3 linked regions of the Caenorhabditis elegans genome follow. The protein of the gene in region 1 purifies or fractionates together with the protein of each later gene. This does not show direct contact. Each region holds a gene or a part of one and is shown in the gene's direction. Other genes may lie near its edges. The genes, in order: eelo-2, C02F12.8 and Y54F10BM.3.

The links.
Region 2: the proteins of eelo-2 (region 1) and C02F12.8 fractionate together in Caenorhabditis elegans (co-fractionation; one large-scale study listed by BioGRID). This does not show direct contact.
Region 3: the proteins of eelo-2 (region 1) and Y54F10BM.3 fractionate together in Caenorhabditis elegans (co-fractionation; one large-scale study listed by BioGRID). This does not show direct contact.

The regions. Positions count from the first base shown.
Region 1 is NC_003282.8:17,246,911-17,256,594, forward strand, and holds eelo-2 (Peptidase M3A/M3B catalytic domain-containing protein), read left to right. Parts: upstream 1-3,220; 5' UTR 3,221-3,222; coding exon 3,223-3,291; intron 3,292-3,346; coding exon 3,347-3,441; intron 3,442-3,489; coding exon 3,490-3,589; intron 3,590-3,637; coding exon 3,638-3,716; intron 3,717-3,765; coding exon 3,766-3,917; intron 3,918-3,977; coding exon 3,978-4,115; intron 4,116-4,356; coding exon 4,357-4,451; intron 4,452-4,498; coding exon 4,499-4,603; intron 4,604-4,960; coding exon 4,961-5,143; intron 5,144-5,192; coding exon 5,193-5,294; intron 5,295-5,314; exon of another isoform or gene 5,315-5,441; intron 5,442-5,509; coding exon 5,510-5,653; intron 5,654-5,929; coding exon 5,930-6,180; intron 6,181-6,588; coding exon 6,589-6,707; intron 6,708-6,756; coding exon 6,757-6,927; intron 6,928-6,973; coding exon 6,974-7,261; intron 7,262-7,360; coding exon 7,361-7,492; intron 7,493-7,747; coding exon 7,748-7,843; 3' UTR 7,844-8,054; downstream 8,055-9,684. Other genes in the region: mfsd-8.1 (Major facilitator superfamily (MFS) profile domain-containing protein), read left to right, coding at 457-634, 1,067-1,169, 1,268-1,408, 1,759-1,865, 2,006-2,252, 2,491-2,662; gtf-2E1 (HTH TFE/IIEalpha-type domain-containing protein), read left to right, coding at 8,393-8,458, 8,513-8,569, 8,622-8,720, 8,774-8,922, 8,967-9,045, 9,097-9,206, 9,486-9,684.
Region 2 is NC_003284.9:3,688,104-3,696,027, reverse strand, and holds C02F12.8 (uncharacterized protein), read left to right. Parts: upstream 1-2,789; 5' UTR 2,790-2,794; coding exon 2,795-2,896; intron 2,897-2,949; coding exon 2,950-3,201; intron 3,202-3,523; coding exon 3,524-4,033; intron 4,034-4,351; coding exon 4,352-4,821; intron 4,822-4,869; coding exon 4,870-5,177; intron 5,178-5,222; coding exon 5,223-5,482; intron 5,483-5,536; coding exon 5,537-5,698; 3' UTR 5,699-5,885; downstream 5,886-7,924. Other genes in the region: Putative protein tag-278, read left to right, coding at 6,884-6,907, 7,385-7,491, 7,568-7,887.
Region 3 is NC_003281.10:2,278,778-2,285,986, forward strand, and holds the start of Y54F10BM.3 (Tyrosine-protein phosphatase domain-containing protein), read left to right. Parts: upstream 1-3,247; 5' UTR 3,248-3,308; coding exon 3,309-3,381; intron 3,382-4,317; coding exon 4,318-4,369; intron 4,370-4,421; coding exon 4,422-4,496; intron 4,497-5,019; coding exon 5,020-5,314; intron 5,315-5,453; coding exon 5,454-5,607; intron 5,608-6,456; coding exon 6,457-6,655; intron 6,656-7,209. Other genes in the region: Y54F10BM.21 (uncharacterized protein), read left to right, coding at 332-446; Y54F10BM.23 (uncharacterized protein), read right to left, coding at 616-780; Y54F10BM.22 (Neuropeptide-Like Protein), read left to right, coding at 2,144-2,307, 2,809-2,944.

The DNA.
Region 1 (9,684 bases):
TCTCAATTCTTATAGTTAGTCAGGAATTATTCTGAAGCACATGTTTCTCGAGTAAACGGGACAATTCTAGTTTTCTGACTATATGAAATTTGGGAAAATTTAGTTTTTTTTTCAAAAATTCCTATTTTGCAATATTTGTTCAAAAAAGTTTTTTCCAAAAATTTGCTGTTTCGACAAATTTTGAAATCTTGAATTTTTCTGTGAGCTTTTTAACAGTACACTAAAAAAATTGTTTTTTTTATAATAAATGTTCAAATTGCTTCATATATGGTTAATTTGTGTTTTTACCGGTTTGCAAATATAATGAAGTCACAAATTATTATGAAAAGGGTTAAATTCGAAAAATAAAGAAAATCAGAAAAGACATCAAAACTTTTAATGTTTCGATACAGTTTCGAAAGTTTGCACTGTTCCTCAAGCTTTCAATGCTCGACTATTCATCTTCAAAAATTTCAGGCATTCTTCACGCCACTCGGAGAAACAGGCTTCAACATTTGGATAGTTAAAATCAATATGTACACTTCGGCAGCTTACCTGATGGCGTTCATTTGTGTGCTTGCAGCTGTTTTGATGTTGGTCTTCTTTCAGGAAGATTATGCTGGAATTATTGATAAAAATTCAAGTGATGAGAAATGTAAGTTTTGATGGGAAAAGAAACTGCAGAAAAATATTAAAATTTCCGTTTCAAAAATTTCGGTTAAGTCTAAGTTTTTTAAACTTATTCTATTGTTGTATTTTCCAATTTTCGTTAAAAGTTGCAGCAACTTGCCTTGCCAATCTTCAGAAAAAGTTTTAAAAGTTGATTTAATGTAAAAAATATTATGTTATTACGGGAACAATAAATCATGATAATGCGTACTTGGAGCATTTTATTTGACGCGCGATATCTCTTAGCGAAAACTACAGTATGAACTCAAATAACTATTGCTATTTGAGTTCTTACTGTAGTTTTCGCTAAGAGATATCGCGCGTCAAATAAAATGCTCCAAGTACGCATTATCATATTGTTCCCGTAATAACTATACGTTTATTAAAAAAAAGATAATTTTTCATTTTTTTTTTTCAGGCAATGCGGACTATGTTGTGGTGCCGAAATTCGATTTAGTTCCGGCATTAGTTTGTATTTATTTGTACATGATTGTTAGTATGATTGCTACAAATATTGAAGTGTAAGTTTTTTTTTCGAATTTTTCCCCTGTTTCAAAACTAAAATTTCTTTTAAAACATCTAAGCGTTCCACTTATCTTTAATCAAAAAAAAATTTCAGAATGTCTACTCCATTGACAACTGTTCTCTACGATTGGAAAGATTCTCAAGCGATTTTGTACAACGGGATTATAGAATCAATTACCTGTATTGTGTCGGTTTTGATTAATTTTGGAATTGGAAAAACTAGAATTGGAAAGATGTGAGTTCTTTTTTTTCTAGAATACTTGTGATTTTTCAAATTAAATAGACACGGGGAATTATGTTCTAAAAAAATTTCAATTTTTTCACTGTTTCACTGACCAGCTTTCAGCTTGGACAGCATTTCGTGTTCACTGATCTTTACGGGCTTACGAAGTTTTCTAAAAAAAAATATTGTGAATTATTGCTGTGACAGGCGCTCAGCGTGTTAAAATTTTTTTTCAGCAAATTTTCAAATTTACAAACAAATAGAAAATCTAACAGTTTCACATCCCCTATTTCAGTTGGAAGATTTTTTTTCGATTAATTGTTAACTGCTTTTTGTCTCATATTGTTATAACATATTTTCAGTGACAAAAGAATTCAAATTCTATTCGGATTGGGTGTATTCGTCGCATTCCACGTGGTCAACTATCCATGGTGGTTCTACTCGGGACCTCTGCACTTTTTGCCGCCAGGTAAGGGTCTCGCCGCGAATTGATTTTCAAAGTTTTCTCAGAAGTATGATTTATTTGAATATATGGAATCTAGAATATGTTCCACAGTGACTGTTCTGGAAAATGTGAAACATTTTAGTTTTAAATTATACTGATTCTAGGTTCCAACACAACTATTGTCGGTGGATGCCTTGATTCATATTCATGGTGCAACACGACAACTCGTGTCCCTATGGCTCTCTACATTTTTGCATTTGTCTTCTTTTTCGGAATCGCTTTCCCATTTGTCGAGTCACCGGCCGCCGCACTTTATTCAGAGATTTTGGGTCCACGGAAGCAGGGAACCATGCAGGGATTGTTCAGTTTTGGTGGAAGTATCACGCCATTTGTTGCTTCGATTATTATCACGTAAGTGTTAATTGACTTTAAACTAATTATTTAAAATAGTCTGAATTTGAGTTTGGATGCATGAGTATTTAGAAGGATTAGTATCGAGAAAGAGTTTAAATTTTATTTGTTAAAAACTTGAAACAGAAAAAAAAATTATCACAAAAACCTTTTTTCACGAAAACGGATTTTTCTTCTAGTACTGTTCAATTTGATATTCTCCATCCTCAAAGAGTAAAATTAAAAAAAAAAATTTCAGATTCCTATTCCAACATTCCGGCTACAAATACGTCATCATCCTACAGTCAACCACAATTTTCATTGCATTCATTCTGATGGGTGTATTCTACAAAAGACTTGTTCCATTGAAATTAAGACCAAAGTCTGGAAAGTCTGCAGAGTATAAAAATGGAGTTTATTATTATATGTAAACTCTATTTTCATGAAAACACGGAATCAAGATTCTAACATACATAACCAAGTTTTAATTCATTTTTACACATTTTCAATTGTTTTTTTAGATGTACCACAAGATCTCACTATTCGAATTTTCATATGTTTAGTCGTTTTTTTTTTCTTTAAATTTAAATAAACTCATAAGTATTTCATATTCCTTTGTTCAATTTTTTCGAAAAATAAGCGCTGATTGGTTCGAAAATGGGTGGGGAACTCTATACGTGTGTAGAGTTTTTCTCAGAAACTCGATTCAAACTGCCTCCAAAATCCAATTGTGCGTCAACTCTCGCGATGTGCGCCAGCAGCTGTCTGCGTCAATGGAGCGCGCTTGCATTTTCTGCGTTCATCGCGATTTTTTTCTGCGTTCAGTACTCATTTTCTGCGTTCAGTACTGAACCACCGTGCATCGTTTCTATTTTATTTTTCTCCGCATTAATCAAGTTTTCACCATGTTTGGACAATTTTATTCAGGAGAATTCTCGAGAATTTATTAAAAAACAAAAAATAAGAAATTTTAAATAGATAATTTGCAGGAATGTTCCGTAGGATACCCCTCGGGAGGTTTCTGACGCGAAAAATCCATAATCAAACCAATGGGCTGATTGTTAGTCATTTTCCACTGATTAAAAATAGCTTAAAACTGATTTTTCCACACACAGGTTCCAACAACAAATGTTCAAAAGCAACAAAAACGACAGATTCTGTTCAAAATGGGGAATGAGACGCCGGCGCGAGTGGTTGGATATTATGTTGTGTGAGTTTTTTTCGAAAAAGTGATAAAAATTTACATTTTAATTTTCAGATTTCCCGTAATTCCCGAGGAAACCGTGGAGAACAACTGCTTCATGTACAATATCGCTAAAAATGAAGATTGGCCGAAATTGGCCACCGCCGAGCCCAGGGTAGCTAATTTTTCTGGATAAAACTTTAAATTATTGGTTTTTCTTCAGGAACTGTATGAAGGAACCGTTCGAATGCTCATGGACTACGGAGCCACTGTAATGGAGCACATGGAGCATCTTGCAACGTGTAAGATCTGTGAAATCTGAGAAAAAACCAATTTCAAATGTATTTTCAGTACCAGCAGAAGAGCGAAAGTTTGAAAACGTCGTAGAACCATTGCTTACGGAGGAATACGAGGTCAATTTCGCTTTCCAGACACTTGTGCTGAAAATGCTCACGGATTGGCCTGATTGTAACCGAAAACTCTTCGATGCGGACCTTCACCATGTAAAATAACAGAAAATTTCATGAAATTAAGTGGAAAACCTAAATTTTTTTAAATTTTAGATCAAAATCATGTGTGCCCGCGATCAAATGGAGAAGTTAACCAACAAGGACTTCCAGGACGCCATCAAGCAGCTTTATGAGGCAAAAGATGGACTTTCCGAGTGGCAATCGAGACTATTGGAGTGGTATTTGCTCGAGGTGCCATTTTAAATATTTTCTAACGAGAATATGCCTGAAATTGACTGGAAAAAGTGTTTTTCACCGATTTTGAAATTAAAAAATTTGATTTCTGCTCAGAAATCATAGAGACTGTAGTTTGCTAAATAGAAAGCATCGATTTTAACTCAGCAAAAGGATATTCCGTCTAACTTTCCCAGGAAAATTGTAATTTTTCAGCTAAGTTCGCGGATTTTCTGGCTGAAATAAGATCAATTTGCAGATAAAAGCTTCTGGATTGGACAAACACGACGATAAAACGCGTAAGGTTCTCGGATCCTGGAGCAAATTTGTCGACGAGTACAGGAGCAAGTATATGTGAGTTTTAAATGGAAGTTTTCAGCTTTTAAGCGGCTTTTTTTCAGCACCGGCGTGATGTCAACCAACGATCAGCAGACATTTGTCGTGACGGACCAAAAAGTGATAAAAGATGCACCTCCACATGTTTTACAGAAGCTCGCTGTTGATGAGTAGGTTTTTTTAGTAGCAATTGGCGAAATTTTTTTAGTAGCAATTGGCGAAATTTTGTTGAGAATTCGTTGAAAAGTGGTATTTTTAAGCTAAAAATCGAAAATAAGCTCCAAATTTTCACAATTTTTATGCTTTTCACTAGAAAAAAATTGAAAATTATCAGAAAATCGTGAGAATTATTATCAAAAAGTACTAGACGAAATTGTAATTTTTTCTGCAAAAAAAAGTGAAAAGGTAAGAACTTTCTGTAAAATTTTTCAATTTTCTCTAACCATTAAAAATGCTCAATTCTCCAATTTCACTCAAATATTCCCACTTTAAACTAAATACTAATTCAGACTAATTTCTTTTTTCAGACAAAACTGGGAATCAGGACCATGGCGTGGACGTATGACACCTCACACAATCTACCCATTTATGCAATATTGTGGAGATCGTCAATTGAGAGCCACCGCATGGGAGAAATGGACGAGTAAAGCTGGATTTGATCATGATTTCTACAATAATTCAATCAATATCGAGGAGTTGAGACATAATAAGTAGGAATCCGATAAGGAAAAATAATTGAAAAATGGCTGAATTTTTCAGCGAAGGACTCGCCAAAACGCTTGGATATTCATCTGTTGCTGAGCACCGACTTGCGAATAAAATGGCTGCCTCGCCGGAGACAGTTAGAGGATTTATCAATGCGTGAGTTTTAGAAAAAATACTGAAAAATTGTTTTTTTAACGCTGAAAATTTCCATAAATGTGAAGATTTTATTTTAAATTCAGCTTTTGACATTTTACCAAAAAATAGCCGGAAAAAAATTTAAAAAGAACCCAAATCTAACAGTTTTTGACAAAAAATTTTTATTTATACCGAAAAGCATGATATTCCAAATTAAATCAACTTTTTTCTTGCAGTCTTCAACGTAGAATCCGGCCTGTAGTGATTGATCGTATGGAGTCCTGGTCCGCATGGGCTGGACGTTGTGAGCTTATCACTGGCGAGCTTCAGGCCTATGATATGCCATATGTGTGCAGAAAAGAGGCAGAGCATCATTATGAGTAGGTTTTTTTTTTGAAAAAGTATTGCCTGCCGGCCTACGCCTGCCTTTCAAAGGGGAAGTCGTAAAATTTGCAATTTTTTGGTATTTTTAGAGGTATTCGGATGATTTGAAGCTTTTTTTTTCTAAACTTCTAAGTGTTACGAATTATCGGAAATTCAAAAAAAAAGGTTTTCAGATTTTTTTTTCAGTTGAAAAGCTCAAACTTTTCATTTTTTCGGTAATTTTAGAGGTATTCAGAACATTTTTAAAAAAATTTTTAACTAATTTTTTTCAGTGTCAACCCACTGGACCTAATGAATCACTTCCCATTCTGGCCAACATTCCAAAATATAATGGGAGTCATCGGACATATTTTCAATTTGGAATTCAAAGATATCACCGATAAGGGACTCGAAAAAGCGCATGCTGACGTCCGGATCTACTCGGTTGGCGACAAGTTCAGCGGACAACACTATGGAAGATTATACATTGATCCATATGATCGACAGAATAAACGAGGAGGATGGAATGTTATGCTTGCGAGACGTAGGTTTTGAAGAATGCTGAAAATTTGGAGAGCTCGAGAAAAAATTTGGAAAATCACCTGAATTTGTATCGAGTTTTTTAGAAAAAAATTAGAATTTAGACATTTCCTGTCGGAAAATTCAGTTTCGATTTTGTTTGAAAACTGAAAATTTTTGATTTTTGTATTTTTGGAACACTTCATTTTTTCCATCGAAAAAAATATGAAAAGACAGAAAAAGCGAGGGAATTTTAAAAATTGTCTTTTTAGAATAAAAATTAGAGGAAAAAATTCTCCTCGTTTCAGACTATCTGGCTTTTTTTTCAAATTATTTTTGCAAAAAAATTCTTTCGAAAAACGTTAATAGAATAAATTCTGTTCAAAAATAACTGCAAAAAACAACACAGGTTAGTTAACAAATATATTTCCAGCGGAATCCAAAGAACGAGGTCTCGACAAGATTGTGTACTTCATCGGCTCAGCAATTGCTCCAACTTCCAACGGACCGTCTCTTCTCCATCACCAGCAGCTTCAGCAACTTCTTTTCCATGTCAGTAGTCGAAATTTTGGGTTTGAATTTAAATTTTCGAAATTTCCAGTTTGGCCGAAGTGTGCAGCTTCTTCTATCACAATCTCCATACCGTGATATTTCAATTCCATGGTCTCCATTCTACGCATCTGACTGGGATGCAGCTGACATGTTCCCAACATTCTTGCAAATGTTCGTCACGAAGCCCAATCTCCTTGCAACAATTAGCTCTCCGCATCAGGTATTTTTAGTCGAAAATTCTTGAAATGTCTGAATTTCTGTTTCAGATCACAAAGCAATCGTTGACCGAAGAGCACGCAAACTCGGTGGCTCTTACGATCTCACGAGCATCACTCTGGGAAACCTACCGTACCCTCTTCTGGTCGGACTTTGATCTGTCGATTTACGAGATGGAGGACAGGAAGCAAAAGTTCTGGCTGGATATGTACAAACAAATGTATGAGGAGTATTTCCCGTTCAAAAGAGCCAAAAATGACTATCAACCGTGCTCATTCACACCGATTTTTGCTCTTCAACCACATATGAGCATGTATTATAGGAAGCTGTGGGCTGAGGTGAGGTGGTTTTCCAGTGTTAGAAAATCATCAGAATTTTGATAAATACTTTTAAAAAAAATTATCTCAATTATTTCTGAAAATTGGCTCAATTTCCAGATGCTCGCCTTAGATATCCATGAGACATTTGACGAGGAAGACAATGAAGTGCAAACGGGAGAACGATTGAAAACGACAATATTGAATAGAGGAAGTGGAGATGTTGCGAAGGAATTGTTCAAAAGATTCCAGGTAGGGGAATCTTCTTTTTTTGACTGAAAAATTGGTGAAAAACGGCATTAAAATAAGCTGAAAATCTTAAATTCTGCATGGAAAAATCTCAAAAAATCGTATTTTTTTAAAATTAGAACGCTTTAATTGAACTCTATTTTTACAAGAAGAATTCTAAAAGAGTTCCAAACAATTACTTTCATTTTTTAAATTCCAGAAAAATGAAGCCATTATTTAATTTTTTTTAAAGAAAAATATTCATTTCCATTTTTTCAGGGCCGAAATCCATCAGTCGGAGCCATCTGTGATCACTACGCCCCACCAATGGCCATTCAAGATGAAATGGAAATGTCGGAGAATCAGAGACGATGAAAATTCCCCCCCGGTTTTTGGAGATTTTCCATCTCTTTTTCGCTTCTCACCGGGTTTTCACATATGTTTAGATGATTTTTTTTCTGTTTTTGTTATATTTTTTTGATAGTCTTAAGAAGAAATAGGGTCTCATAGATTGTTCTCTGTTATTTAATGTTTTTCCCCTCATTTTTAATTTTTGTTTTACTTCAGTAATGAATTCTTTTCTTTTTGAAAATTTATCGTTTTTTGAGATATCGTTTTCCAACGATTGAAATATTTTTGTTTTGAAATTGAAAAAAATGTTTATGTTTTTTATTTAACAGGAAAAAAATTGAATTTGTTTTTGAAAATTACCTTTTCCAGGACATTGTGTTATTTTTTTAAAACCAATTTTTGAAATTTTTACTTTTTTTTGGAAATTAAAAAAAAAACGATTATTCCATTTTTTTTTTGGATATTTTTGAGCTGAATTATTTTTAATTTAAATTTTGCTCACTTTTTTGAACAAAAATTATAATTTATTGATCAAAAATTAAAATTTATTCCAAAAACTAAATTTTTCCAGGCATGTCATCTGGCCCAGCGACCTCCGGCTCATCATCGGCTCACACCGAGACCCAAGTGGTGGATGAGGTAACATTTCCGCGAAAAAACCCACTAAATCTGACTAAAAACCGTCTTTTTCAGATTCCGGAGGCACTCAACACTATATTGCTGATGGTGGTAAAGAACTTCTTCTCAAGTGTAAGCGAAAAATCTGATTTTTCAAAAAATTCTTGAATTTTTAATTTTCCAGGAGCACTTTATCATCGTCTACCACATAATGCGAGCCCAGTGCATTCGCGAGGAAAATCTCAAAGCCCGAATACAATTCGATCAGAAAATGCTCAGACAGGTGTGCTGAAACTTGCTTGAAATTCGAAAATTCAAAAAATTTGACAATTTCAGCTCCTCGCGTCTCTGAAAGCTGAAAAACTCGTGAAAGAGCGCACGATTACGCAGAAAAACGAGAATAATCGAACGGTTTCCATCATTTTCTACTATATAAACTATCGGGCTGTGCTCAACGTGGTGCGCTACAAAATCGATCACATGAGGTGTGAAAATATAATTTTTTCACTGAAAGTTTAAAATTTTCCAGACAAAAACTCGAGTCCCGAGAGCAAATGGACACAAATCGAGCTCACTATCGATGTGGAGCGTGTCAGAGTTCTTATGATGTGAGAAAATTCTTTTAAAATAGAAGAATTCTCTGAAAAAATCATATTTAGATGCTGGAAATCAATCGGATATTGGACGCTGAAAGCGGGCGGCTTATTTGCTGGCGGTGCCACGGAGATGTGTTGGCGGATGAGACGGTAGTACCATCGAGGACGACGAGGTACTTGGAATATCCTGAAAATCTGAAAATTCGGAAATTTCTGGGTTCTGAAGCGAAAATTATTATGAATTCTGATCGAGCTCAAAGCGACGAATTGAAAAATTTTCAAATTGACAGATTTTTGAATTTGTTAAATTAAATCTACAGTACTCTAAAATTTTTTGCAATTTTGAGCTCCAAAAAATTGATGAAATTTTACTGTTTAGGGTCTCCTTTCAAAAAAAAACTTCGGGTTACTGTATCTGCATATATATTTTTTTTTATTTTTTAAATTTCCAGAACCGCTGTGGCACGCTTCAACGAACAAATGACACCGCTCTTCTCTCATATTTGTGCTCTAAACGGTATCCAATTGGCTCCGCATCTCCTTGAACCGGATATCACGAAATATTTGGAAGATGACAAAGAACTGCAACTACAGCAACAACAAATGGACTTTACGTCGGGTGGAGGTGGTGGTGGACGGATACAGTTGGGA
Region 2 (7,924 bases), on another chromosome or scaffold:
CGATGATTATCACATGAAAAGTGAATCGTTGAATCAGGCGTTTTCTCTCCATCCGTTTTTTTTTGAACTGGTACATACGTTTTCTGCTACCAAACAGAATTTTCAAGAAACTTACTACGTTTGTTGTTATGAAATACTTGTAAATCTACTCTTTGATTATTTTGCCCCGAACGCATAAAAAGGTTGCCATAGAAAGTACATTCTGACGTTCAAGCAGAACAAAAAGTTCAATGAATTCATAATTCAAATTAATCGCTCATTATGTCAAGAGTGTGAAGTATCAATTTTTAAAATAGCAGTAGATGTTAGTTTCTGGAAAAAAACTTGGTGTAGTTTTTGCTTCTAATCCGTATGAGACCTCTCGAAAAATTTTCGAAACTTGTTTTCTCGAGATTTGTTGCAAATTGATGTAAATTTTTAGCAATTTTCAAACTAAAAGGTGGAGTAGAGTCAAATAAATAAATAAAAATTCGCTTTATATGATAGAAAATGGATTGTAATGATCGAATATATCTGTAAAAAGTGTAGAAAATTTATTTAGATTTCTCATGATTTTTTTAAAATATTTTTCTATTTTCAAAAATCAAAGAATCGGCCGAATTAAATTTGACTTCCCATGCAAATGAGTGACGCTATTTTCGATATTTTTGCGTTGTCTGGCTAAATTCTTTCGGTTTTCTAGATTTTTTCTACTAAATTACTTTCAAAACTCTGTTCGCCATTTTTTTCAAATATTTTTCCCCAAAACAAAATCTTTGAAAAACTCCACTGTCGATTTTTGGGCAAAGTTTGAAATTTCCGCAAAAGTATTTTGTGTTATCAAATTTTCAATCAAATATAGAAGATATAGAAGAAAAAATATTAAAAAAAAAAACGGCGAAGAAAGCGAGAGAACGCGAAAGTATAAAAAATGACGTCACTCATTTGCGCAGAAATTTAAATTTAATTCGGCCGAAATCATAAAAAATTTAGAAAAAGTTTATAATTTTTTTACAGTCGTAATCTGTCCTTACAGCCCATTTTCTATCATTTAAAGCAATTATAAATATTAAAATTGTGATGCAATTTTTATTAAAATTTTTTGATCTACTCGCGCTGCACTAAAAATATCCATGACCTCCCTTCTGTTTTTTTTTACAATTATTCTTGCGAAATTGGGGGTGCGAGTTCTTTTATGATTTTAGTTTACCTTTTCTGTGAAATTTCTGCTACATTTTTACATTTTTTAGCACCTGTCGTACATTGAAAGCATTTGATAAGTTCCAGGATGATTGCTAGATTATATTTCCACATAGATTTCTGTTTTCTTCTCTACATTCTGAAACTTACTGCGAACATGCTAGTTTTTGTTTACATTTTACTATCACATATGTATAATAATTGGACCTATGACCGTCATTACCATTTTCCGTAACGGCCTTGCGCCCACCGTAACGCTCTGTTTCGTGCGCAATCACACGAGAATCCGTGAACATTTGTCATATGTTCATTGAGTTAAAAGAGTCCCATTGTTAGTCTAGAGCGTCAAAAATTAACTGCGCTAGTGCCTCTGGATGCCGTGTCGTCGTGTGAGCGCATGTGTGTGCGTGTTTGTGTGTTTGTGTTTTGTTGACGTGGGGGTGCAGTTGGCTATATGTGAGCGTGTGTGTGCGTGTGTGTGAGTGTTCTATGAGTGTGCGCGCGAACGAATGTAGGGGGGTTTTGTGTGCTGCGTGCGTGGCATCCGCCGAGGGGCCCTTTGCCCTGTCCAACGAGTCCTCTTCCTCACCATATTACCCACCCAGTTATTGTTGTGGGTGACGATAAACACTAAGCACCACCACCTGCGTGCGCGTCTTTTCACTTTCATTTGTTCACCTCAGTTTTCAACTTCGTTCCTCCTAATTTTTTTTCAATCAGATAATAGGTTAGAAATTAAAATTATGCACTGACCAAAATAGAAAAGCACTGACCAAAATAGAAAAGCACTGACCAAAATAGAAAAGCACTGACCAAAGTCGAAAAGCACTGACCAAATTAGTAATTGCACTGACCAAATCAGAATGCACTAACCAAATTAGAAATTCCACTGACAGAAATTGAGTCAGGTTTCCTTTTTTTTATCCTTGGGCAAAACTAAAACTTTTTTAGCTCTACTCATTGAATTTCCAACCAAAATTTTGCATGCCAACCGTGCAATTTATACATTGTGCTATTTTTTTCAATGGTACTCTTATATTCCCATTTTTCCACAATTGTAGTTACAAGCAAAAATTAAATCTATAGCTATGATATGAATCTAGCTATCTAGATACCTAGACATTATTTTTCGAGAGCCCCAACGCGATGCATGATTCTTTCAAAGTTTGAATTTCTCATAAAATTCTATGTTTTGAACTAACCATGTTACTTGGAATGCAATCTAGCTTCAAGAATTTGTTTTGATTTTTCCCAACAATTACTAGCAAAGGAAATTCAAAAATTATATAATTTTGTGTAAAATGCTCACAATGTTTTTTTGCGGTAACAAGAGTAGGTTAAAAACAAACAAATAGCTATAACATTTCTCTTTTTTATTTTAATTCAGCAAATCTTTTGATCTAGTTTTGAAATGTGACACCGCCAGCTTCTATTCGTTATAATTTTACTCATAAAATAAATAGTAAAACTGAATGTTGTAAGCACTAAATTATATGTTTTTTTTATTCGGTTTTTCCTACAATTTAAATTTTCAATTATTAACAGGCTCTCAATATTGCACCTATCAGTTGTTTTAAACTCTGACAAATTTTCATGTTAACTTTGTTCAGAAGCTATGCAAAACGATAGATCTCGCTGGAAAACCGAAGGACACTCGAGTGAAGTACATGAGGACTTTCTCAGGAATAGTGTTCAAAGAAGAAATCAATTGGAGAAGGTACATAATGTTTAGAGCGTTTGTATATTCTTATATATAATAATTTTTTACAGATTCTCTTTTCCTACAATAATCTTCATCGTCTGGATCCAAGTTACGGGGAAATCGTTCAAAGAGCTTTTGAATCAAATGATCCTATTGCGCTGTGGAATTTTGAGAATGAGGTTCTGTTGAACTCAAAAGACGTTGATGATCTCATGCAGCAACAGTTCGCCGCTCCCGTCCAAAATAATCAGTGCCCAAATCCTTATCAAAATTGCGGATATCAGAACAATTTGGTGAGCACGTTGGATGCTTCATTTAAGGTTTGTTTTTCAATTTGAAAAGTTTGTTCATGAGATATTGAGAATTTCCAATCTCAGGCAATTTGAAAGCTTATTTCGTTGATAATTTTTTGAAATGGGAATACTAGATTGCAATAAAAATTAAGCGAACGGCGAAACTAAAAGCTGACAATTAAACTTTTAATGATTTTAGAAACTCGTTGATTTAATGGAAAAAATCGGTTTTTTTTTCAATCGAGAGGAGTAAACAAGTTTTAATTTTTAGAAATGTAGTTTTTCACTGTTTAAAAACCCCAAGGCCATAAGAATTTCTTTAAAACTTTGAAACAATTGCAATTTTCAGGTACACCCATTTGCTCAACATGGTAATTACATGCCACCTCCGGCACAGTTTGCATCAAATCCAAACGTCTTTCCGCAACCTGTTCCTCCATACACTATGGATTTGGCAGCGTCGAATTCAGGATTTGCACACCCACAGATTGTAAACCAGCCTATGCATCCACACGTGCCTGTTGGTTCCCAGAATTACAATCCTCCCCAATTTGTGCCAGCTCCACCAACCATGATGCCAGTCGGAGCTGTAATGGTTTCGCAAGGATCGTATTCAATGTCACCACCTCAAATTGATACTTCAAAGCCACCTTCTGGATATGGATTCTCGTCTCCCATCTTTCCATCACCGTCTTACAGTCAATATTCTGGTCCACCTGCCAACGAAGGATTCCCAGACATTATTTATGATAACAATGGAGTTGCATATTGTCGAGTTGTCAGCGCACCTGTATGCGTCGTTTCCATGTCACAATCGGGATCATCAGTATGCTCATCACAATCGTTTTCTTCCGGACAGGTAATAAACAATATTATCGACTACAACAAAAACAACTTAACTGCTGCTTGGGTATGCCAGAATTTGAAAATTTGAACATGACCGCTTTTAGGGAAGTTATATGAAAAATTTAAAAGTTGGGAGATTAACTGGTTTGCATCTAAAACCATTTTAGTAACCCGCTTCTTGTCTGACCATGAATATCAGACACACTCCTAAATTTATGACAACTATCATTAAATGTTCCTGAAAGTGATAATGATCAAATGTTTAAACTTGAACACACTCACGCAGCACTTGACTAATTTATAATGCTATATTACAAAATGGTTTTTTCAGAGCGACATATCTATGTCCAGCAGACCGCCCATCAATGGATCTAGTGTTGGAAATGGTTCGTTATCACCCATGACTGATAGTGTCAGGGAAGAATCGGAAGACGAAGATTATGGAACGTTGACGCCTGTTGGTCAGCAAGATTGCGACTTGGATTCAGTAGACACGGAAAGTGTTGCAAATGAGCCAGAACCTTATAGCAGTACAATGTCTGAAATGCCACCATTAGATGATGTTGATGATATAATGGAGAACCTTGATCTTTCGAAAACACTGATTGAGCCGGAAACTTTGGAACACTCGGATAACATGAGCGTAGTTGAAATCAAATCTGAACCTGTATCTGAAATGACGACTGACTCGTTGATTGTTGATGATGACAGGGATACGTCAATATCTGAAATCATTAAGTATCTGGATACGTCGGATGACGTTTTGGAATCATGGCAGGAGGCGACGGGCAGGAAGAAATGGTGATTTTTTGATATTACTGCTAAAATGATAAATTCTGTAATTTTCAGTTTTGTACCACAGAAAACACAAAAACTCGTCTACCCGCTGCCATTGTCAAAAGTCGAAAAACCATTGCAAAAATGTCAGCAGACTTTGGCCGCTTCCACCATTGACGAGGATAGCAAAGAAGCATCAACTATTGCTCTACCCGACGCCAGGAAAAAGTTGACAAAAAAAGAAAAGCGCCTTATGGCTGCACAGAAGGCAAATCAATTGGAAACTGATGACGATGTACTGGAAGCAGCATATCGAGAAAGACAGAAGCATGTGGAGCAAGCTGGTGGTGACTACTCAAGCTCAGGACAGAAAGACCAAAGTGAGATTCATCATCGCCATTTGGTACTAATATTTTCAATTTCAGAAAAGAAGCGAGGAAAAAGACCCGTCTCGAATCCACCGCCATCGTTGATCAGTCCCCAAATCCTGCATGCAGTTCAAATGGCAATTGCTAACAGAGCAAAGAAGATTTCAGAATCGGGTCGTCCAATTTTTCACGAAAATTTCTCATATCAAAAATTCTATGAAACGGTGGATACTTTTGTGAAAACTTGGGAAGAAAATTCGAATGAAATGAACAAAGTGTTACAGTTTATTGAAAAACGCATTTTGGCATTCAAAATGGTGAGTTTTAATGAATTTTGGTACTTTTAAGTGTCTCAAACTGACTATTTACAGGTTCAACGTCCGCAAAGTCTCTCGCGTATTACAATCTACGAGCAACTTCAGCTGAACTTGCCGCCAGCTATTCTTCCGGAACTATGCTTTTTGGCCGGTCTCACCAGCGATTCTACTGACAAATTAGAGTATTACGAAGAAATTTTCTTCAACCTTTTCTAGATTCCGTTATTGTTTGTACACATTGTACCCAGTGATCAGATGTTTTAACTGTGATTAACCATGACCATTCAGTTGTATTTTTCAGTCCATTTAATTACGTGTCATTGTCTTCAATTTTAATTTATTGACTTTATGGGTAAATCAATTTATGTATTGAGATTTTTAGAATAAAAATGTCTAGTCTTGTATTTCTTCATCTTTTCAGAGGCTCTAACCAGTTTCAAACTTCTACCAATTTTAAATTCAAGTTTAGAAAGGGTTGAATAACTCAAGAGACGCGTTTTTGACTTCACAAACAAATTAGGCAAACTGGACAGACGGACATTATTATTTTGTTGATTATTTATTATTACCTCAAACATTTAATTCCCAAAATCAAAATCAAAATCAAAAAATCAAAAGAGATCGTGCTTAAGTGAAACTAGATGAAGAAGTTAAATATAGCTATTTTTGTCTACGAAATATTTTTGAAATTGAAACATTTTATCCAATCTGTATGTTTTGAAATTAGGCTGACGAAATCTTTTGAAAAAAAAAAACGCTATCGAAGAGGATACAACTTTTGCTCATTTTTTCCTTATGGCTTACAACAAATTGAAAAATTAAAGCAATAAATCTAAATTGATAGCCCCCTTAATCTATTTTTCAATCAATCCGTACACATTTCGGCAGCGTTATGCTCACCGTCATCACATTCATCGGGTCTTGTCAACGTATCCTATGTGCACTGCTGTGTGCGTACTCATTATCTGATATAGCAGTCTCGATGTTTCTCCCCCTCCCGGGTGAGTGGCACAACGTCCATTCGTATATCCACCGCCGGTGTTGAGTAGTATCATGTCGACTACAAGGCGCAACAGTTGGCTCTTCTATCCGGATCTCTTAGTCTCTTCTCTTGAACAGTTGCTCGTTCGGAAGTGTCCAGTCACTTCTACATCTCTCTTTCTGAATCACTCCTTGTCTATTATATCGAGAACCTCTAGGCTTCTATACCTTTTGTTTTACTGAATTTGTATTTTCTGATAAAGGAATCCCTAATTTATTTTTATATAACTGTTCTCTTATTTATTTTTTCGTTTACTTTTTCTAGTTCTAGACATAAAACTTAATTCAACTATTTTCAGCGCCACGTCATCACTTAACCACAGATAATCAGTCTAAAGAGGGCTGTCAAAGCCCTTTTCAATGTCAGAGCGCTTACGAGAAAGAGTGAGTAAATTCAATTTGATTAGGCTTTCAAACTAAGCCAATCTGTGTGCTTTAAAAATGCTACTGCATTGTAAGCCTAAAGGTTTGCCTTTATTTATATGCACAGCTATCCAAGTTTCGCTAAGAAAAATTCGAAATATTTCTCAAATTAAAAGTTATAGTTGTTCGAAGTTTTGGAGAAAAGGCGCAGTTTCAGCTGAAATTTTAATCTTTCTTAACTTGAAAATATGGTGCATAATTCGATGAATCAACGCGTAAAAATACAAAAATGTGGTACAAAAAGTCGTAATTATATAACAATAAGATTATGTCCGCTTCGATACCGATAAGTGTGTAAAACCTGAGAAAATAGGTATTTTTTCCAACAATTTTTTAGAATTTTTCAGAACGGATTTTTACTCAACCTTTAAGTCTAACTGATGGTTTCTCAGCAACATCAACTGTTTTTCTTGAACTTTTAGTAGTAACCTGTTTCAGCTTGGTATATTATCCGAAGAGTTTGATGGAAGTCTCCGATCCGCATCTCCATCAGGAAGTCGATCACCTAGAAGAATGAGCAGATCTCCAAGGCCCCATGGAACTCAGTGAGTTTCATTTTCCTTTTCGTTTGCGAAATGTGATACTTGATACCTCCTTACCCTTAACGTTTTCTTTTTCCAGTGAACCAGCCGTAGGTGTGACTCGACCTTTCGTAAGACAATCCCATCCTGAAATCGCTGCTTGGCCTGCACCTCCACCGGCGCATCAACTAGGTTGCCTCTCTGGAAATGTTCGAACACCAGTCGGAGGACCAGCTCCCCCGTCACCAGTTTTGCGGAGGGCACCAAGTGGCCCGATTTCACCATCTCCAATATCTCCAGTTAGCCAACATTCACGAGCAAGTTCTAGGCATGACATTGATAACACTTCATTGCTATCAATTTTGAAATTGTCACATGTTGCAAGAGAATCATCGAGAAATACTTCTAGAAATAATTCACGTACGTGTAAAATATTGAAAAGTTGGAAACAATTAAA
Region 3 (7,209 bases), on another chromosome or scaffold:
ATCATAACTTTTTCAATTTTCAAATTTTCGAGTTGATTTTTCACTCTAATGTGAATAAAATATTGTTTAAGAAAAGTACTAAAACTACAGTACCCCATGAGTTTTCGCGGCGGGACCCAAAATTTAATTTTAAGGCCGACATTTTTTTTTCGCAAAAATTTCAAAACGTTATAACTTTCTCAATTTTTCAGATTTTCAGTTGGTTTTTTACTCAAATGTGACTAAAATAGGGTTCATTAGAATGAATTTTTTATTTTTCAGAAAAGTTCAATAACTACAGTACCCCATGAGTTTTCGTGACAGGACCCTCATTTTTCCTATTTTTTTCCAGATGCGCTGACAATGCTATTAATTCAACAAACTGTGAGGAAATATTAATCAATAATTCAATACCTTCAAGTAATTTATTTTCAATGTTATTATTGTTTTCATTGATCTGGGTGTAAATAAAAACTTGATATTTTTTGATAATTTTGGGTCCCGCCACGAAAATTCCTGTATTTTTTTTTGTGATTTTTTTATTGGATTGAAATTCAATACTTTATAAACAAATTCAAAACAAGATTTTTGAAGAAAAAAAAATTAAACAAAAAATCAATAAAATGAATTTTTAAATTATTTCAAAGAGTCCTTGATAGCTCCAAATGGTCCTTCTTCGGGGCTCCAAATGCCTCCAAAAATCTGATGAGGTGGGCGTGGAGGAGGAGGTGGAATTCCTATTACAGTAGAGCATATTATAGAAAATATAGCAAAAATCTTGAAAAGTAGGGAAAAAATCATTTTTTTTTAAATTTTTTTCTACTTGCCGAGTTGAATTTTTATATACTGGTGAGATGTCAACAATTTCAAGCCAAAAAAACCGGTTTTCAGTAGCCAGTTTGCTGAAAATGGGAGGTGGAAAAGACGAAAATAAATTGATCAAAATTCAATTTAAGTACACATTTTGGGACATAAACTACAAAAAAGTAAATCCGGAAACGTAAAAAAATTTTTTTTTGAAAAATTTGGAAAAAAAATTTTTGGAACTTTTTTAAAAATTTTATAACTTTGTCAATTCTCAAGATTTTTGGCTCAAATTTGTTTTGAATAGTGCCCAAAATGTTTTCCTATACAATGTAATATTGTAGTTAACAAAAACCCGTAAAACTACAGTACCCCAATGCTTTTCGTGAGAAGACCCAAAAATTTTTTCGAAAAAATATTTGTTTTTCAAAACTTTATAACTTTGTCAATTTTCAAGATTTTTGACTCAAATTTATTTTTATTAAAGCTCTAAATATTTTTCTATGAAATCTGACAATAAAATTTAAAACAATTTATAAAACTACAGTACCACAACACTTTTCGTGGCGGGATCCAAAAATTTAACAAAAATTTTTTTTTGATTTTTTTTCAAAACTCCATAACTTTGTCAATTTTTAAGATTTTGAGCTCAAATTTATTTTGAATAGCGCTCTAAATGATTTTCTTTAAAATCTAGTACAGTAATTCATAGCAACTCATAAAACTACAGTACCAAAAGACTTTTTAAGGCGGGACCCAAAAAATTTTGAAAAAATTTTTTTTTCAATTTTTTCAAAACTCCATAACTTTGCCAATTTTCAAGATTCTGAGCCTAGATTAGTTTTAAATAGTACCCTCAATATTTTTCCATAAAATATAACATAGGAATTTACAAGAACCCGTAAAACTACAGTACCCCATAACTTTCCGTGTAGAGACCCAAAAAATTTTTGTTTTTTTTTTTGAAAAATTGGAAAAAAATTTTCAAAATTTTTTTTTTCAAACTTAAATTAATTTTACTGATTTTGTTGAAGTTTTTCGCTATATTAAAATTGATTTTAAAAAATCTGCACCCATTGCTTAGGTGCAAAATGTATCCCTCTACCCCTTTTCAGGTACACTAAGAATTCAGCGAATTCAGATTTGCCAAACATCAAAACAATGGAATTTTTCATTGTTTCTCACGTGTAGCAACTGATAAAAACTGATAAAAGATATCAAAATTGATCCTATGACGTCATCATGTCTTATGACGAATTCCACCCCCCGCTGACTGTGAGAAAAGTATTTAAAAACTTGATTTTTCAAGTTTTTCCCTAAAAACTTTTTACACTTTCTCTATGTAAAAGTTCAAAAAAACATGCGAAAAACTACAGTAACCTTATTATTTTTGATATTTTTTATTCAAATTTCTGAAATTCTGACTCTACCTATCAATTATGGTGCATCGTTGAACTCTGTACACTCGGATGACCTGAGTGCTGAGGATTATCAAGTTTTGAGGAAAAATGAGACAAAAATTGAGTAAGTTCATTGATTTTTTGCTAATAGAAAGGTTTTTGAAATTTTGGAAAAATTAAAAAAAAAATTTTTTTGAAAAAAACTTGTTTAAAAATAATAATTCCGCCAAATTATCGATTTTTTTGGTCGAAATCTCAAGTTTTAAATGTTTTCTTTAATTTTATTGAATTCAGCGTCATTGATTACCCCTATCCCAAAATTTTGGGCCTTCTAGCTCAATTTTCAAGAATTGGCTGAGTAGCGACCCATTGCGATACGGAGTTTGGTCAGTTTTAGTGCAAATGGCTAAAAATTTAGGATTCTGGGTTTCCAAGTATGGCAAATTTAATGATAATGTTAGTTTTTCAAAACTATGACTCCGTATCGCAGTTCTGAGTCGCTACTCAGCCAAATTTCAAAATTTTGAGATTTTGAGCTAGAGCTCTGAAAACCTATAGATAAGGGTAATCAATCACGCTGAATCCAAAAATAACTTCTAAAACCAAAAATTTTAATTTTTTCCAGAAGAATCCACAGAATTCAGCAATTTTTCAAAGCGGAGCACCACGAATCCACGTGGCGAGACTCGATTTGCAGTGCATTCCACTCGTTTTCACTGTTCCCGCCAAACTGCTTTGCGGCTCCGCCAAACGACAAATAAATCGATATTATTGATTTATGAAATGACATGATTTTTTTCTACGACGCACAATAAATTTTTGTGATTTTCTGATTTTTTTTGATTTTTTTTTGGGTCTCGTCACGAAAAGTTGTGGGGTACTGTAGTTTTTACCGGAATTTCTAAAATTTTTATTTTATCTTTTACGTGGGTAGTTTTCGCACATTTTAAGCCAAAAATGAACAAAATATCTCAAAAACTAAAAAAGTTACAAAATTTTTAAAAAATTGAATAAAAACGTAAAAACTCAAAAATTGCCAAAAAACATTCCACGTCGGGAACCACGTCGTTTGATTTTCGAAAGTCGATAAATCGATATTGAAAAATTTATTTCACAATATTCAAGATGAAATTGTGGTCGATTTTATTGGTGACCATATCGATTTTTGGCATCTGCCACGTGGAACCATATGAGCTAAGTAAGTACGGGGGTTTGACGCCAAGATACGGTTCGATTCTACAAAATTATCGGATTTTTCGGGAAATTATCGATTTTCTTGAGAAATTATCGATTTTCTGGCGGAAATATCGATTTTCTTGCTAAATTATCGATTTTCTTGCGAAATTATCGATTTTTTCGCGAAATTATCGATTTTTTCGGGAAATATTGATTTTCGGGAAATTATCGATTTTCTGGCGAAATTACCGATTTTTCGCGAAATATTGATTTTTTCGCGAAATATTGATTTTCGGGAAATTATCGATTTTTTCGCGAAATTATCGATTTTTCGCGGAATTATTGATTTTCTGGCGAAATTATCGATTTTCTTGCGAAAATATCGATTTTCTTGCGAAATTATCGATTTTTGGCGAAATTATTGATTTTCTTGCCAAATTATCGATTTTTCGCGAAATTATTGATTTTCTTGCGAAATTATCGATTTTCTCACGTGTCGAAAAGTTGCCCTTATTTTTTATTTCTGTCAAGAATGCAATTTCAGGATTTAATATAGGAAGAGGCAGATTTTCTTGCGAAATTATCGATTTTTTCGCGAAATTATCGATTTTTTTCCCGAAATTATTGATTTTCCAGGAAATTATCGATTTTTAAAAAATTATCGATTTTTAAAAAATTATCGATTTTTAAAAAATTATCGATTTTTAAAAAATTATCGATTTTTTGCGTAATTACTGATTTTCGATAAATTATCGATTTTTTCGCGAAATTATCGATTTTTGATATTTTCGATGAACACGTGGAGTTTGTTATTTATTTCTTTTTGAAAATGACGTGGAGAGGACGGTAAAAAAAAGCCACGTGGCCATTGCGATTGCGAAATTATCGATTTTTGATAATTTATCGATTATTCGCGAAATTATCGATTTTTCAACAAAAATTTATTGATTTTTTCCAGGTTTCGTCGATTGGCCTACACCCGCCCCGCCGACCTCAACAACTCCACCAGTGTAAGTCTATCCGTTGTCCCGTTAGTTTATCCCGATGACCGCTCTTTTTCAGATCCTCAACCAAACCACCACCTGCTGAACAGTTTAATTCGCTGACCGACATTCTCGACCTAATTCCAATCGAAGTGTAAGTTGTGAAAATTTGACATCGATAATTGCTCGGCGGCGAAAAATTGGTTTTTTTTTTTCGAAAAATCGATAATCTATGTTGATTTTATTGATTTTTTTGGTCGGATTTTTGAAGAAAAATCAATAATTTTTATTGATTTTTTGTTCAAAAAATCGATAACTTGCGTCATTTCTTTTATCGAAAATCAGTAATTTCGCAAAAAAATCGATAATTTCGCAAGAAAATCAATAATTTCGCAAGAAAATCGATAATTTCGCGAAAAAATCGATAATTTCGCAAGAAAATCGATAATTTCGCAAGAAAATCGATAATTTCGCAAGAAAATCGATAATTTTGCAAGAAAATCGATAATTTTGCAAGAAAATCGATAATTTCGCGAAAAAAATCGATAATTTCGCGAAATTATCGATTTTCTTGCGAAAAAATCAATAATTTCACGAAAAAGTCGATAATTTCGCGAAAAAAATCGATAATTTCGAAAGAAAATCGATAATTTCGCAAATTTTCTGTAATTTTTCAGCTGGCTTGTTGTACTTTTCCTGGAATCTGCGTTTGTTGGAGCATTTGGAGCATATTGCTACTGGAAAGTTCAACAATGGCGCGACGAGAAAATGGCAAGGGAAAAGGCTTGGGAAAGGCGTCTGGCACGAGTTTCTGAAGTTTCGGCTTCGAAAAATCGAAACGCTGGAGGTGTGGATCCTGCAAAAAGACCGAGAGAATCAGCCAAATGGCTGAAACATGTAAAGGAGGTGACGCTGAAACGGGGTGGAGTCGAGCTGCTGCCGATGGAGGATGTGATCGTGAAAAATAAAGAGGTAGAGATTTTTCCGAAAAAATTTGAAAATTTACGTGTCAAAAATCAAGGAAAAATCTTGAAAATGAACAAAGTTATGGGTTTTCGAAAAAAAAATTTTTTTTTGAAAATTTTTTTTGTAAAAAAATTTGTTTTTTCAGAAATTCAAAAAGCCACAAAATGAGCTTCGAGAAAATGAAGTGTGGGTGGAAAGACAAACGGGCCCTGATATTGATAAAGATTCGGACCCAAAGACGGAAAATGCATTGGATGAGCAGGATTATCAGCTGGAAGATGGATGGCACGGCAAGTCAGGTATGGTTTTAAAATCAGGTTTTAAGAAATTTTACTTTAAACATTGCAAGTTATTAAATTAAACATTAAACTCACAAAAAGATTGCGCTCATTTTAAGACTATATTCAATCGAATATCTTTAAAATTCGCAGAGTTATGTAGTTTTGAAAATAAAATTTGAAAATTTGAAATTTTTTTTTAAATTTTTATTTTCTTGAAAGCTCGAGCTAACTTTCAATTCAAAACCGATTTGGCGTGAATTTTCAGATTTAGCACGCCTAGAGCTTTCAAATAACACCCATCATGACTAGGTTTCGCCTGTTTTGGGTCCCCAAGTTTTCAAAGTGGACGGAGCTTAGTCAATATGGGTGTTAAATGGAAAGTCTTGACACGCTGAATTAAAAAATGAGCAAAAAATTGTAAAAATTTTTTATGTTTTCCAAAAATCTCAAAAAAAAATTTTTTTTTTTTTAATTTTTTTCTAAATTTTTAGACTTTTTTTGCACCAACTGAGAAATAATTAACAAATTCAAAATAATCACATTGAGACCTTTAAAATAAAACCCATCATGACTAGGTTCCGCACATTTTGGGTCCCGCCACGAAAATGCCGCCGGGAGTACTCTGGTTTTCGTGGTGGGACCCAAGAATTTGCAATTTTTAATCTGAAACGTTCAAATCGGTTTCGTAGAAAATTTTAAAAGTTTTTGAAACAAAAATTTTGAAAAAAAATTTTTTTTTCGAAATTAATTTTTTTTGGAAATTTTGAAATTTTGTTTTTTTTTCTACTTTCAAGCCAAACAGTCCAATTTTCATTCAAATTCAAAATTCCAATTACAGTAACCTACAGTAACCTACACAAATTTCAGCTCTCAACATCACACGTAAAGAATTCAAAAAGCTGTTCACCAAAATGAGCTATAGCCCGTCGATGTGCTCTATCATACCGGGAAAAGAACGCGATCCGTCGAAAACTGTAATCGCAAATTGGTTCGAATGGTGTCAGCCAGAATTTGAAATTCCGATTGAGCTGACAGCGATGAGCGCAGGAAACCCCAAGCTTTGCAGGTGATTTTTCGGCAAAATTTTTTTTCGGCTGAGGAATTTAGAGTTTTTAATTCGAAAATTAGATTCAGCTGCTCATTAGCTTTCAAATGACACCCATCATGCGACCGCTTTGGGTCCCGCCACGAAACCCAACCTGGGGTACTGTAGTTTTCGTGGTGAGACCCAAAATGGGCGGAAGTTAGGCATGATGGGGGTCATTTTGAAGGTCTCAACGTGCTAAATTCAAGTTTTTAGATAAAATTTAAAGAAAACAGATACTTTCTGAAAATTTTGAAGTTCTAAAAAAAATTTAAAAAACTTTTTTTTTAATATTTTAATTTTTTGAGACCAATTTTATTAAACTTCCAAAATAAGAAAAATTCTACATTTTTTTTTTTTTGAAATTTATACATTTTTTGTGCGTCAAAGCCAGTTTTTGGGGGGGGGTCATTTGAAAGGGTATGACGTGATAAACTTAAATTATTGCACAAATTAGTAGAAACCAAAAAACTCTTCAAAAAGTTGAAAAAAAAATTCTGCAAATTTTTTTATTATTTTTCAAATTTTTCAACGTT